Neurospora crassa OR74A: one gene and its partners. The protein of the gene in region 2 interacts with the protein of the main gene of each other region in a pairwise test. Links are inferred from orthologs where the notes say so. Each region holds a gene or a part of one and is shown on either strand. Other genes may lie near its edges.

The links.
Region 1: the proteins of bni1 (region 2) and NCU06397 interact in a two-hybrid assay, tested with the Saccharomyces cerevisiae proteins (3 studies listed by BioGRID). The link is inferred for Neurospora crassa OR74A from reciprocal best matches to the Saccharomyces cerevisiae genes BNI1 and PFY1.
Region 3: the proteins of bni1 (region 2) and rho-1 interact in a two-hybrid assay, tested with the Saccharomyces cerevisiae proteins (2 studies listed by BioGRID). The link is inferred for Neurospora crassa OR74A from reciprocal best matches to the Saccharomyces cerevisiae genes BNI1 and RHO1.

The regions. Positions count from the first base shown.
Region 1 is NC_026504.1:2,646,484-2,650,191, reverse strand, and holds NCU06397 (profilin), read right to left. Parts: upstream 2,521-3,708; 5' UTR 2,072-2,520; coding exon 2,059-2,071; intron 1,943-2,058; coding exon 1,927-1,942; intron 1,741-1,926; coding exon 1,656-1,740; intron 1,416-1,655; coding exon 1,263-1,415; intron 1,125-1,262; coding exon 990-1,124; 3' UTR 546-989; downstream 1-545. Other genes in the region: NCU06396 (Got1 family protein), read left to right, coding at 1-199. UniProt on the Saccharomyces cerevisiae protein: Binds to actin and affects the structure of the cytoskeleton. At high concentrations, profilin prevents the polymerization of actin, whereas it enhances it at low concentrations. By binding to PIP2, it inhibits the formation of IP3 and DG.
Region 2 is NC_026505.1:4,767,502-4,771,758, reverse strand, and holds the start of bni1 (cytokinesis protein sepA), read right to left. Parts: upstream 2,808-4,257; 5' UTR 2,261-2,807; intron 1,843-2,260; 5' UTR 1,465-1,842; coding exon 1-1,464. Other genes in the region: NCU01432 (hypothetical protein), read left to right, coding at 4,187-4,213. UniProt on the Saccharomyces cerevisiae protein: Required for the assembly of F-actin structures, such as actin cables and stress fibers. Nucleates actin filaments. Binds to the barbed end of the actin filament and acts as a leaky capper, slowing both polymerization and depolymerization.
Region 3 is NC_026502.1:3,340,977-3,345,044, reverse strand, and holds rho-1 (rho-type GTPase), read right to left. Parts: upstream 2,846-4,068; 5' UTR 2,384-2,845; coding exon 2,313-2,383; intron 2,177-2,312; coding exon 2,149-2,176; intron 1,885-2,148; coding exon 1,687-1,884; intron 1,616-1,686; coding exon 1,481-1,615; intron 1,380-1,480; coding exon 1,224-1,379; 3' UTR 345-1,223; downstream 1-344. UniProt on the Saccharomyces cerevisiae protein: Acts as a central regulator in the cell wall integrity signaling pathway, which is regulated by the cell cycle and in response to various types of cell wall stress.

The DNA of each region.
Region 1 (3,708 bases), on a different chromosome or scaffold from region 2:
CGGTCTGGCTTTGATTTTGATGCGCTGGCCTTTGATCGGCTTCTGCGTGGAGCTTTATGGGATCATGATCCTCTTTGGCGACTTCCTGGGAACGATAGCGGGTTTCGCGCGCAACATTCCTGTTATTGGACCTTATATCGGCACCGCGGTTGATCGGTCTGGTGTGGTAGCGAGGCAGAATGCGGATTTGCCTGTTTAAATGGAGGGATTGAGTGTTGAGGGGAAAAGGCGAGGGCGCCGTGGCATAGTGCAAACGTGCCGAACGAGGATATGGTCTGGGCCATGGCGCCGCTCTTCGAAAGCTCACGAATACTCGCTTTGCCGTTCGGTTGAATGACATCGGCGGGTCGGGCGCAAGACAGGTTCAGCGCTCGCGCTATGAAAGGGAGGGCAAAAGAAAGAATACGAGGCGAACGGGAACATGAACGAAGAAACGACGGTTGTGAAACGAAAAGGAGAGGGAACGCCTATGAAGGGTCTAATGCCCACGATCAACATGCACATTCACACAAACGGCGTTGGAGCGAACTTTGGGATACCCAAGTTGTAATATGAAGAGGGAAGTATCGGGCTTTCTTTTCATGCATAATTTTGAGAGGAAGAATCAAATACTATAGATGGTTCCGGGGTGGGGGGGGTGTTAAATTGTCTACAAAATCACGATACCATATAACCCCAATGATGGAACAACGGACGAGGAACGTTTTTCACCACCGGCAGCCTCGACTGACATGGAAAGGCAAATTCCGCCAAAGTGTGCTGTCAGTTCCAGAAAAAAAAAATTCCCAAGGGCCTATGCCTGTTTAAGGATATCATCCATCCAGTACACCAGTCCCCAATACTCCTTCACAGGAAAGTCTTTCGGTTTCTTTTCCGTCTTCCCATCTTTCGTCTTCCTTGTCTTCATCCCGTTTTCATTTGTTTCTTGTTCAGTGACTCTTAAGACATCCAATCATCTCATCCTTCTTCCCACTACCTCCCGACATGACTTAGTATCCGGCCTTGACGAGGTAATCGGCGAGCGCCTCGACGGTCTGTGTCGAGTTGCCGGCGACAGCGTTCTCGCCGTAGTGGGCGACGAGGATGGCCTGTGTTGTCTTGACGATGATGACGCCAGTCTTGCCCTATTTTTGGGGGGAAGAAAAACCATCAGTGAGCTTGAACATACGAGGCTTGGAAAGGGGATGCCTGGAGCAGCGCGGCCGACTAAAGTTCGGGCGTCTGAGGTTGAGACACGATAAGGGGATAGAGATAGTACGCACCTGGCGACCGTAGACGTGGCGACCCTCGATGTTGAAGGCAACGTAGCGCTGACCGGCAACGTGGAGACCCTCAGCGAAAACCTTGTCAACGTTGGAGCCCTTGCCATTATCGCCGAGGACGGCGGAGATGAACTTCATCTCATCGGGGCTCAGCTATAATACGTCACAGATTGTTAGCTTTCTCTGGAACTTTGGCGCCCGATACATCGTCGGGGGGTCCTATCACGCCATCAACCCCGCTCTCTGCTTCCCCGGTGCAAACAGCCTCCCTGACCAGGATTTCTCGGACATTGTAGATGTCCGACCGTTTATGCGCCCGAAGGAGAGACAGAGATGAGGGCAGGGAAAGGGTGCGGGCAGAAATCGGGGGGAAGTTGGCGAGACAAGGCGTACCGTGAAGCCGGGAGTCGCAGCCCAGGTGCTGTCACCAGCGGCGCTGATGATGGCGGCCTTATCGATGTGGCCGGTGCCAACAAGGCTATATGTAGGAGATTACGTCTTAGCTCATCATGTCCATGTCCGTTTCCATGTACAGGTGGTTCTCCGCATTCTTGGGGCCGAAGCCGAACAACCATCAGGCGCAGGCAATCACACCCCTAGCAGTCGATGGCGTCGCAATTCGTTGTGTTCATGGGTTCGGGTGGTTTCCAATGGTATATCGTACCTCGAGTCAACATAGGCTGTTCAAGACATTCGGGGTTAGCTTGCTTATTCTCCCAGCTTCCGTCGAGGTGGGGTTGGGCGTGAAACAGCTCCCAAGGACGGGAAGAGGGCCCAGGCGGAAACAGGCACTGACCTTGCCAGGACATTTTGTCGGGATTTGTGTGATGTTGGTGTGATGGAAAGGACTCGGTGGTTGAGTTGAAGGAGGAGTGTATCGACAGACAACGACGACGAAGAAGCTGGCTTTCGGGGAGGATTAAAAAAAGGGAAACCCAAACAAACGCGGCTCGGTTGGCAAAGGGGGGAGGGGGGCCGGTAGTCTTGGGGGGGCTAAGCGGCGGCGGAAGATAGCGGAGCGGCGACTGGATACCTCTATGGATTGGATGCGAAAAGGGGAAGCGGTGACATGACAGTGGAGGGGAACGACTCACTGGTCCCCCTGGGATTCTAGTGGGCTAAACCGGGAAGCCAGCGAAGGCCAGCTGGTGAATGGGGCCGGGTAACGGTGCCTGGTGGTTGTGGATTCCCGTTGTGTGGATTGGAAGAGAAGCTCTTGAGAGGAGCCCCCTCACCAGCCAGGCCCCTCCTCGTCACTAGGTAGGTTCAGCGAGGTGCCCCGCCAAAGGAAGTTGCCTGGACGTTGACCTCTTCGGAGTCGCGGAGGGGTTCGGCAGGTGAGACTTACTTGTACACTAGGTAGGTATGTATCTCTTTAACATACGATCGTATAAACTCAACACGGTGATTGTTAGCAGACAGCCTCTAGGACCAAGCATCCTTCCATCGACTCCCAGCGGCATTTCCAAGCTGGATCGACGGGAGCAACCGAAGTGGTCAACAGTGGGCCCCTCTTCAACAAACAGGTGGCAGCTTCTTCTTCATCCAGACTTGGAATTCTTCACCGTTCTTTTGCAGGGCCGTGGAATTCCACGACCCCATTCCGCCTCATTGACCGCCGAGACGGACAGCAAGAAGAGTTTGCTGTCGTACTCTCGACGTTTCAGTCTGACATCAACAACAGTATGAAGATATTCTGACAGACGTCCATCTTCTCTGATGCTGTGCCCCAACACCATGTTGGGTTCATTGCTCCGATGCCCCTCATTCATCTCAACAAAGAGGAGCAGCAAAGTACGCCCGTTGTCTGCATGGCGCACACATCAGTGAAGATGATGACGGGGTTGGAAAGCACAGAAAACAGTTTGCATATGACGCCAAGAGGGTCAAGCATTCGGATCCATCCCGCTGTCGTCCCAACAACAAGCGGAGCTCCTTGAATGCAGACGCATGCTCTAGCGTTCGGCTTGCCTCGTGGATGTCGGTTAGTGCACGGCGAATCAGAGATCCATTCAGCACCTCTTTCCTCTAGACCTCCATTTCATCCAACATGACAAACTTCAACAAAGAGACGACGGGACCCAGGCGCCAACAACAGGCACAAATCCCTGAGGTATAAGCTACCTATCTAAAGGTATGGTGAAAACCAAAGGTTACCTGTTCAAGCCGGCAGCTCCTATATCATACGAATCTTGGCTCAAGGGCGTGTGATGTCCAGGGTTCCAGTCAGGCAGGCTGTCGCTGACTGGAGTTGTGCATCTTTGAGACGTAGCCTCGACATTTTCGGATTCATAACCGGCCCCTTTTAACATCATTAAACCGAAGTCTTGGCGCGCTGGTGGACATCAGAATTGCTGGCCTGAGAGTCTAGCGCCTGGCTCTGACAGCATGGTAAAAGACGTACACATGTAAGATACACCGCATGCTTCGTACTTCTTCGACAGTC
Region 2 (4,257 bases):
GACATGGCCCTTGCCTTCGCCCCAATGGCAGAGGAATGTCAGGACTTCGCTGACAAGCTTCCGGGTGGTGAGCCGAGGTGATATAAGGGAGGTGGCCAGAGCCACAATAACCTGTTGGTGAGCTAGCGCATCGTCTGCGCCAAACTTGTTGTTCATAAGAGCCTTCAAACATTTGACAATGTCATATTCTCGGTCCAAATTCTTATCCAATCTTCCATTATCCGGCTGAGCAGGTCCATAGGCAGTCTTTCGGTTCATCTTTAGCAGGACATTGGTCAAGGCGATCTGTCCCTGACAGTCGATGAAGCGCTTGACCCAGCCGATCTGCTGTGTCCGAAGGTTGACTTCGAGTCCTCCGAGCCCTTTGCTGTCCAGAGCGTTTTCCATGACCTTGCGCACATACCACTCGGGGCTGCCTTCGTCATCGGAGGATTGGGTAATATCGACATTGCTGTATTGGCCAATCTTGGCCGTCTGTCTGCGCTTCTGTTCGCCCTGCCACTCGGTGAGTCGATCCTGGTAAATCAAGGTCCATTTCTTCGCGGCGGGGTATGCGATCATCTGGCGCTTGGCCTGGTCCGGGAGGTTGTGCCATCCTCGCTTTTGCATCAGGTTTATGAACATCTGTTCAATCACATTGTCATCGTCTGGCTTGGGAAAGTTGAATCCTTCGGAGCCCTGGTGGCCGGCAGCGACCTTGGTTAACCGCTGGGTATCTCTGTCCTTATGGGCATGGGGAGAAAGGTAGGATGACTGAGACGAAGTACTAGGGAGTCCTATCCTGGATGAGCGATGGCTGGTTCCTGGGGCTTCTTGGTAGTGTCCGTCCCTACCTGAGTAGATGCTGGCATTGTCGCCCGAACTGCGGGTTGTCATGTACGAGTGGCCTCTGGAATTGTACCCGGGCAAACTGCTCTCTCTCGGTGGTCCCCATTGCTGAAACTGGGCCTGGCGGCCCGTGGAGGCCATGGTGATGTTAGCAGTAGCGAGAGTTGAGCGCGAACTTGATGCGCTGGGTGACTGCCCATTATAGGGGGAGCTTGGGCTTTGGTCGATGGTGGGATACTGGTGGAAGTCACCAGTGCCTTTGTTGAGGTGGTGCGGTACTAGCTCTCGCCTTAGGGGCATTTGGTCGGGCCTGGGAAGGTGGTCGAGGGCGACGGGGGAGCGATTGTCGGGGGAAACAGGGTCATAGGGGATCGTCGTGACGACCCCTGCCGTCATGTTGAGGCCAGATTCGGGCGTGTCGGGACGGTCCAGCGATATTACAGACGAGTCCCGGTAATGGCGCGAACTGCGTGCGGTATGGGTGCTGGCGGCGTCGTTGTCGGCGGCAAGGTATCGGCCACCCTCATCGCTTGCGTTCCGTTTGTCGGCCTTGTTCTTGCCAGTGGCTCTCGAGAAGAAGGAGGAGGCCTTGCCGCTCGAGGAGGTAGCCCTCCCATTCTTGTCGTGGGAGGACATGGCGCGGGACGGGATGTGTGAAGCGGCCGCTTCGCTACCGGCAGGGCAGTACACCAGAGTACAGTCCCAGCAGCGCAAGCTGCCTACGTGTTGTTCGGGGGTGGTTCCTCAGCAATAGGCGAGCGGGTATCGTGGGTATCTGGATCGCTGTAGAGGGGCGTCGAGGGGTGTCGAGGGGCCGGGCCGGGTCGGGTCTCGTCTCGAGGCGCGGAGTGGGTAGTTGTATAGGCAATCAATGCGCGGGTGGGTCAATTGGTAAATGAGTGCGTTGAAATGGATACGGAGCAAATGCCGTCAATGGACTCGGTGTCTGAGGCCCTGGGTGGATCGCATCATGTTCTTTGCGGGCAATAACGGTTGGTGAGCATGGCCTTCCTGCTGCATGAACCATTGGTGTTTTTAGCATGAGGTCAAGTTGAGGAGTTCGGAGGGTAGCCGTGCCCGGGCAAGCTTTTGCGCAGAGGCGGGCCTCGAGATAGGCTAGCTGCTAGCACTGCTAGCTGGTGGGATGAGCGCACTCGGGCGAGATGTGTATGGATGTGTGCTGACCCAAACTAGACTGCATCGAGACCGTGTTGGCAATACAATCCAGATCTTCGAAGGGAATGGAACTCAAGTGAAAGTCAAAGGGGTCAAGTCGCAAATGTACGAGCGGGCGCAAATATCCGTACCCGCGTCTGTCCGTGTAGCGTAGCCGGCGAAACCTGGAAATACCTAGGTAGTAGTGTAGGATGTCGTCGACTTCGACTTCTGGATCTCGTGTTGGAAGTATAGATAGAGTACTGTAGTTACCTACCTAGTGTGTAGTGTAGAGGCAGTATACTGGCGACCTGGCTGACGGCAAGGAGGGGTGATGAGTAGGTAGGTATGCGACGCTCAGCTCGCTCACTACCAAAAGTGCCAGAGTACTTAGACAGCTACGCCGAGGCTGAACTAGGAGAAGAACAAAATGCCGTTCGTTGGTCAAACCGTCAGGGCTCGTCAGGGACGGACTCTCCCGTTCGAGGGGTCTGGTGGATTTGGCCCAGGTCGTTGGCGGTACCTAACTTTGGGGTGGAAGCGCGCGCGCGCGTGGGGCACTGGAGGGCCTGTCTTGGACGGGCTTAGTTACCCACTCGGACGAAATTGAAGGTTGATTTGAGATCGGGCGGCAAATGAATGGTGGTCTTCTATGAGCGATGATTGGGAAAGAAAAGGAGCAATGGCAACGACGACGGGTGGAGCGTTGTCCGGTGGTGGCTGGCTCACCCGCGAATTATCAGCTATAGAGACAAGCTCGGGAAAAGGAGAGGCAGAGGCAGATGACCATTCAGAAGTTGCAGCGAGACTGGACTGAGGTGAAGTGGTTGAATGAGCCGAATGAGAGATCACTTGAGAGAGAGTGAGGTTGGGGTTCCTTGCCGTGTGAACGCGAACCTAACAACGCTCGGCAATCGCAGGGGCAACTCCAGCATGGCGCGGGAGGGTGCACCGTGCACTCTCTTAACAGCTGCACCTTCTGGTGGGAGACCTCAACATCACGGCAAAGGGGGTCTCGATGCGCTGAAAGCGGCTTAGCTGGGCACATCATCACCCCTGATGTCTTGAATCACAGGCGGGGAATTTGTTAGTGGTCAAGACGCAGGGACTGTCCGGGTTTCTTCCGTTCTTTCTTTTTCCCATCCACCATCCGAAACATCCATCATCTGAACCTAACCGATGGTTCATATAAGTGATGGAACCACAAATCGGCACAGAATAGGATGAAAGAAACTCAATGATAGAAACTTGTCAACTGAGCACTGAAAAGGCCGCTGGTCAACCTGAAACAATACGCATAATGGTGATAAAGGTCATCTTCGTATGCATTGGTGGCACATTCAGCGGCGCCATATATGTCCACATTACTATGTACTGCGTACATCCATACAATAGCATAAGTAGGCATAGCGGCTGGAACTATGACTTGGCTTAATCCTCCACCTTCCCAAACTGCCCCTGGTGGGGGCAGATTGATATGATGGAATCACATCGAACTGGTATTAAGATTGGCTCATGATCCCTTGCCCAATCATCACCGTTCTATCCGAGTATCATCATCCCTGCGTCTCACTATCCCAACCAAAAGAGGTCAAGATGATCTGAAGACAAAAGAATAAAAGTCCTCAAGCTAGAGGTATGAGCGAGAAACACACTTGTGGAGGTCCAAAACTGTATAGGAACAGATGTTGTTGGTTGGAAAGACATCCTCTGAGATCCCTACATGAGGCCGTCGATACCCCTGGATCATCAGGGCAGTTTGTTAGGTTTCTGCATCTCATCAACCTTGAGGGTGTCGTTCCGTTGCTATTTTGGGCCCGGGCCTCGCTCAGTCGGGCCATGCCACAGAGACCCGATACATGGAAGGGCCGGGTGAGCCCAGTCCAGGAACTCTACAGTGCACTGTTCCACAACGTCTGGGCTGTCAAGCCCAGGTGGCTACAGTATGTACTGCGCGCGCAGTTAGCGCAGGTACACCTTTCCGCACGCGATTACGTGCCGCATTTGTATATGTTACATAGGTTTGTCGCAAGCGGAACCTCCGTAGGCAACAGGGGCACTTTACGCCGCGGCCACCACTTTTGGCTTGTTCAGCCTCATAGCCTTTTATCACAACCTCAAGGCCTCTTCAGCCGAGACTATCACATTCTGTAACTGGACTCGTTGAAGTCCTTGCACGGCAGCGGGCCAGGTTGTCGTCATCATGGGCGCCGACTTTTCCGCGATCAAGGTGAGCAAGACAAAGACACAGACATTCAAGAGGAGATCAGTCAC
Region 3 (4,068 bases), on a different chromosome or scaffold from region 2:
TATATTTATATATATTCTTTTGAAAGTGTTATGTTTACCGCTTCTTTCCCCCCTCTGTTGGCTATGATGAAGAAGTCCCAGAGAGTGTTCGAGATGCAAAGTGTATAATGTATGGCACATCATAGCTTACTTGCAAGTGTTAGCTTCGTTGGCTGTCAAGACCAATCATGCCTTTCTGGCATACCTCACGCGCTGAGTGTGATGACTCGGGAACATTAACTAGGTTTACCCTTGATAGACATGACGTCCTTCATTCAATCAACTGTTTCACGTTTGGGTCTGGAGCTGGCGGCGGCCTCTCCCGTCGGATTGCATAGTCGGCAAAGCGTGATGATTACTGAACTTCGGATTCAAAGACTAAGTAGACAAACGGGCTGACTGACGTAGAAGAAGTCTGTGCTCGTGTCAGTGGTTGACATGAGTATTGCAAGAGGGGACGGGCAATGAATGGTCTGAGGATGTACAGTAGGTAACAGCAATTGTCGTCAACGGTCTATGGAAGTAGCAGGGACATTCGGCGGCCTCGCCATGCCGATCGCCCAAACTATACGGAACATTCAATCTCAAAATCCCAATTTGAACCATGCAGCGGCAGCAGCAGACGGAGACAGATAAACAAGAACGCGATAAAACTAGAGATTAATAACAGACAGGTAGACACAGAGAGAGAGATAAGAGACAGACGCACACGGGCAGTGACAGAGAAAGAGAAATAAAGGAGACAGGTAAGGGGGGCCAGAGACGCGGCATGTGATTCCAGAAGAAACAAGAAATATTGAACCGCAAAACTCCTTTCTCCAGTCTTTCTCTTTCCCTTTACCGCCCTCAGGTGTCCTCCGTTTGTGTATACATGAACACAAGCCACGCACCCGTCCACGCCGACCACACACACACACAGAAATAGTGGAAAGGAGTCCAGACCCAGTTATCCTCCCTAAATATCGAGTAGTAAGGCCCATAAGTATCCCCGAAATCCCAAGCCCCTCCCCATTTGCGCTCTCCACACCCCTTTCTTCTTCTCTCTGTGAAATATTATCCGCTCGGTAGCAGCATTGACGGCGTCATGGGCAGAGAATTATCAACTAAGGTGATGATCATCTTTCGCTTTGAAAACCGTTGCTTGATTACATGTTGCGAGGCTATCCGGGGAGGGCTTGGTGCAGATGATGTTGTTCGTCGTGCGGTAGAAATAAAAGCATCTCTCTAAAGAGCTGTGGGTTTGTTTAGACCGAGCTCTTGCAGAGGCCCCTCTTCGTCTTTGTCTTCTTGAGAAGGGCGGCTCTTGTCGCGTTCTCGAACACCTCACGGACACCCTCGTTGGTCTTGGCCGAGCACTCGAGGTACTTGTGGGCGTTGATCCTCTTCCTCAGAGCCTCACCCTGTTGATGAGCGCGTTAGCATACATTCCCGAGCAAGCGGAGGGAAAGCACTTGGAAACAAAAGGGGCATCATCAGCCGCCAATGTCTCAGCCTCACGTACCTCTTCGGGGGAAACGGGCTTCTGGCTGGTCTTGCGGAGCTCCTCAATGGTCTTGGGGTCGTGGCGCAAATCCTTCTTGCAGCCAACGAGGATGATTGGAACGTCACGGCAGAAGTGAAGAACCTCAGAGTGCCACTGTTTTTGATTGTTAGCGAATTGTAGCCTCAAAGACAAGGGCGCGCCAAGTAAGCAGGCGGGATACTGACCTTCTCGGAAACGTTGTCGAGCGAATCGGGAGAGTCGATGGCGAAGCAGATCAAGACGACGTGAGAGTCGGGGTAGGACAGGGGACGGAGACGGTCATAATCCTCCTGACCAGCCGTATCCCATAGCGCGAGCTCGACGTGTCTGCCATCAACCTCGACATCGGCGACGTAGTTCTCGAAAACGGTAGGGACGTAGACCTGGGCGCAGAGAGTTAGCTGGCTGAGCAGCGCTTATTCGGATGCGGATATGATGGCGACAGGGCGGGTGTTTCGAATTTGATGGCTTGATGGTTCATCGGGCTGAGGAGATGGATGTAGCCTGTTCGGGGGGGGAGGCGAGACGCGGGAATTGGCAGGAAGATGCGTGTTTCGTCAGGCGGTTGGGGCGGTGTAGCGAACAGACGGTCGAGGGCAGGTGTGTAGATGGACGTCTCAGTCCCGACAGACAAGTGCCTGACTTACCTCGGGGAAGGTTCCCTTGGAGAAGACGCTGGAAATTCGGTTAGCAAAAAGGTTGTGATGGGGGGAGAGCGGCGGTGACGACGACGACGACGACAACGACGACGACGCGCGCCTTATAAGAGCAGCATCAATCTCTTGGATGTGGATAGGGGAAATGGACATACATCAACAAACAGGTCTTGCCGCAGGCACCATCGCCAACGATGACGAGCTTTCGGCGGAGTTCAGCAGACATGGCGTCGGTTTGGTGGTTGTGTGAATAGGGGAGGAGAGATTAAGTTGTTTAGTTGAGTTGAGTGATGTCGACGGACGGTGCTTTGTTCGTTGTCGACGGGTTGTATGCAAAGGACGGGAGAGGGTATCACGCGGCCTGGATTTGGTCGATAAAAGATGCAAAATGGAAAAGGGAAGGAAAATGGAGATGGGGGTGTTGGGTGGTTGTTGAAGGATGGACGGTGGTGGTGGTAGGTAGGTAGGTAGTGGCCGCTGGTGGTGTGCTAACCTGTTCAAGTTGTGAGTTGTGTTGTGACGGAGACGGAGACGGGGAACGGGGACGGGGGGACCACCAGATAGCCAGGTGCAGGACTCCCACGGGCAAGGTTGGAAGAGGGTGGAAACCTTAGCCAGCGAACCAGGGCCGGGCAGTCAGACTGGGCTGGGAGGGCAGTGGGTGCTGCCGTGTGTGGTGAGGTGAGCGAGGCAGTGGGTAGCCCCAGAGAAGCCCCAGGGAACGGGCGGGCTGTCCAGGCACAGGCAGTCACTCAGTCGGGTTCACACAGTCCCATCTGGCAGCAGTCGCAGCCTGGAGGCTACAGGTACTGTGTGGTAAGAGGAAGGCAGACGACACCTACCGACCTAATTTTTCATCCAACACACTAGGTCCCTACCTAGATACTGCATTTTGTGTCGGAATACCCCATCACTTGTACAGGAGCCGGTAGGGGTGCGAGACGAGCCAAGAGCAAAGGGCCAGACAAGGGAGGTGCTGGCTTGATGTGACTTGTGAGTGGCCCGAATCCTCAGCAAGCGGTACGTACCGGTCCTCTTCTACAATTAACACCGTCACCTCCATTACCGTAATTCAGCTATTTGCACGCGAAAAGAGAGCTGATTTTGGTGATATTAATAGTGGACCGACCTTGAAATCGTCGTCGTCATGTTCCTTCCTGTTCCCCTTTTTCGCTACCCCGGACTTGCTGCATAAGGCTAATAAGGCCATCTCCCGAACATGACTCTCGACCTTTTTTTTTTTTTTTGTTTCTTCAACTTTGATGACAAGCGCAAAAGTGCACGGTGGGGACGGGCCAAATTACCACTCGAACCACTTTTAGACATCCATACCGCAGTAATCCGACACCCGACACGCTGCGCTGGCTCGGCTGGCTGTCGATCAAAGGGGGAAAGCACGCGCTGCTGCCGTGGCCCCCCAGGATTTTAGTAGTGTACTCAGAGGAAGTGGAAGCTTTGCGAGCGAGCGAAGGCAGGCGAGGCGAGTCTCCAGCAGCAAAGATGGTCCAGTGGGCGGCGGCGATAACTGCTAATCTCCAGACTGCCTGCCCAGAACCCCTGAACCAACGCCAAAAGGTACAGGAACAGGCACAGTGCGCCATGGGCCTCTTCCTTCCGGTCGCCTATTTTGGGTGTCCCTAGTGTACACTACATAGGTAGTAATTTGCTGATAGCTCTGGGCTTTGTTCTCAGCCATCCATTATCAGGGTCCAGGACTCTCTTGACAGTCTAGTAGTGAACATGGAGGAAGGGGATGGGGTGGGAGGAAGGACGGGACATGATATTAAAAACATGGAAGCTCCTGTCTTGTTGGCATACGCAGTATGTACACCACACTATACCCCATTTCCTCTCGGCTGTCGATACACTACACAGTATATACCAAGAGACGGAGCGGTCAGCAAAGTGTCG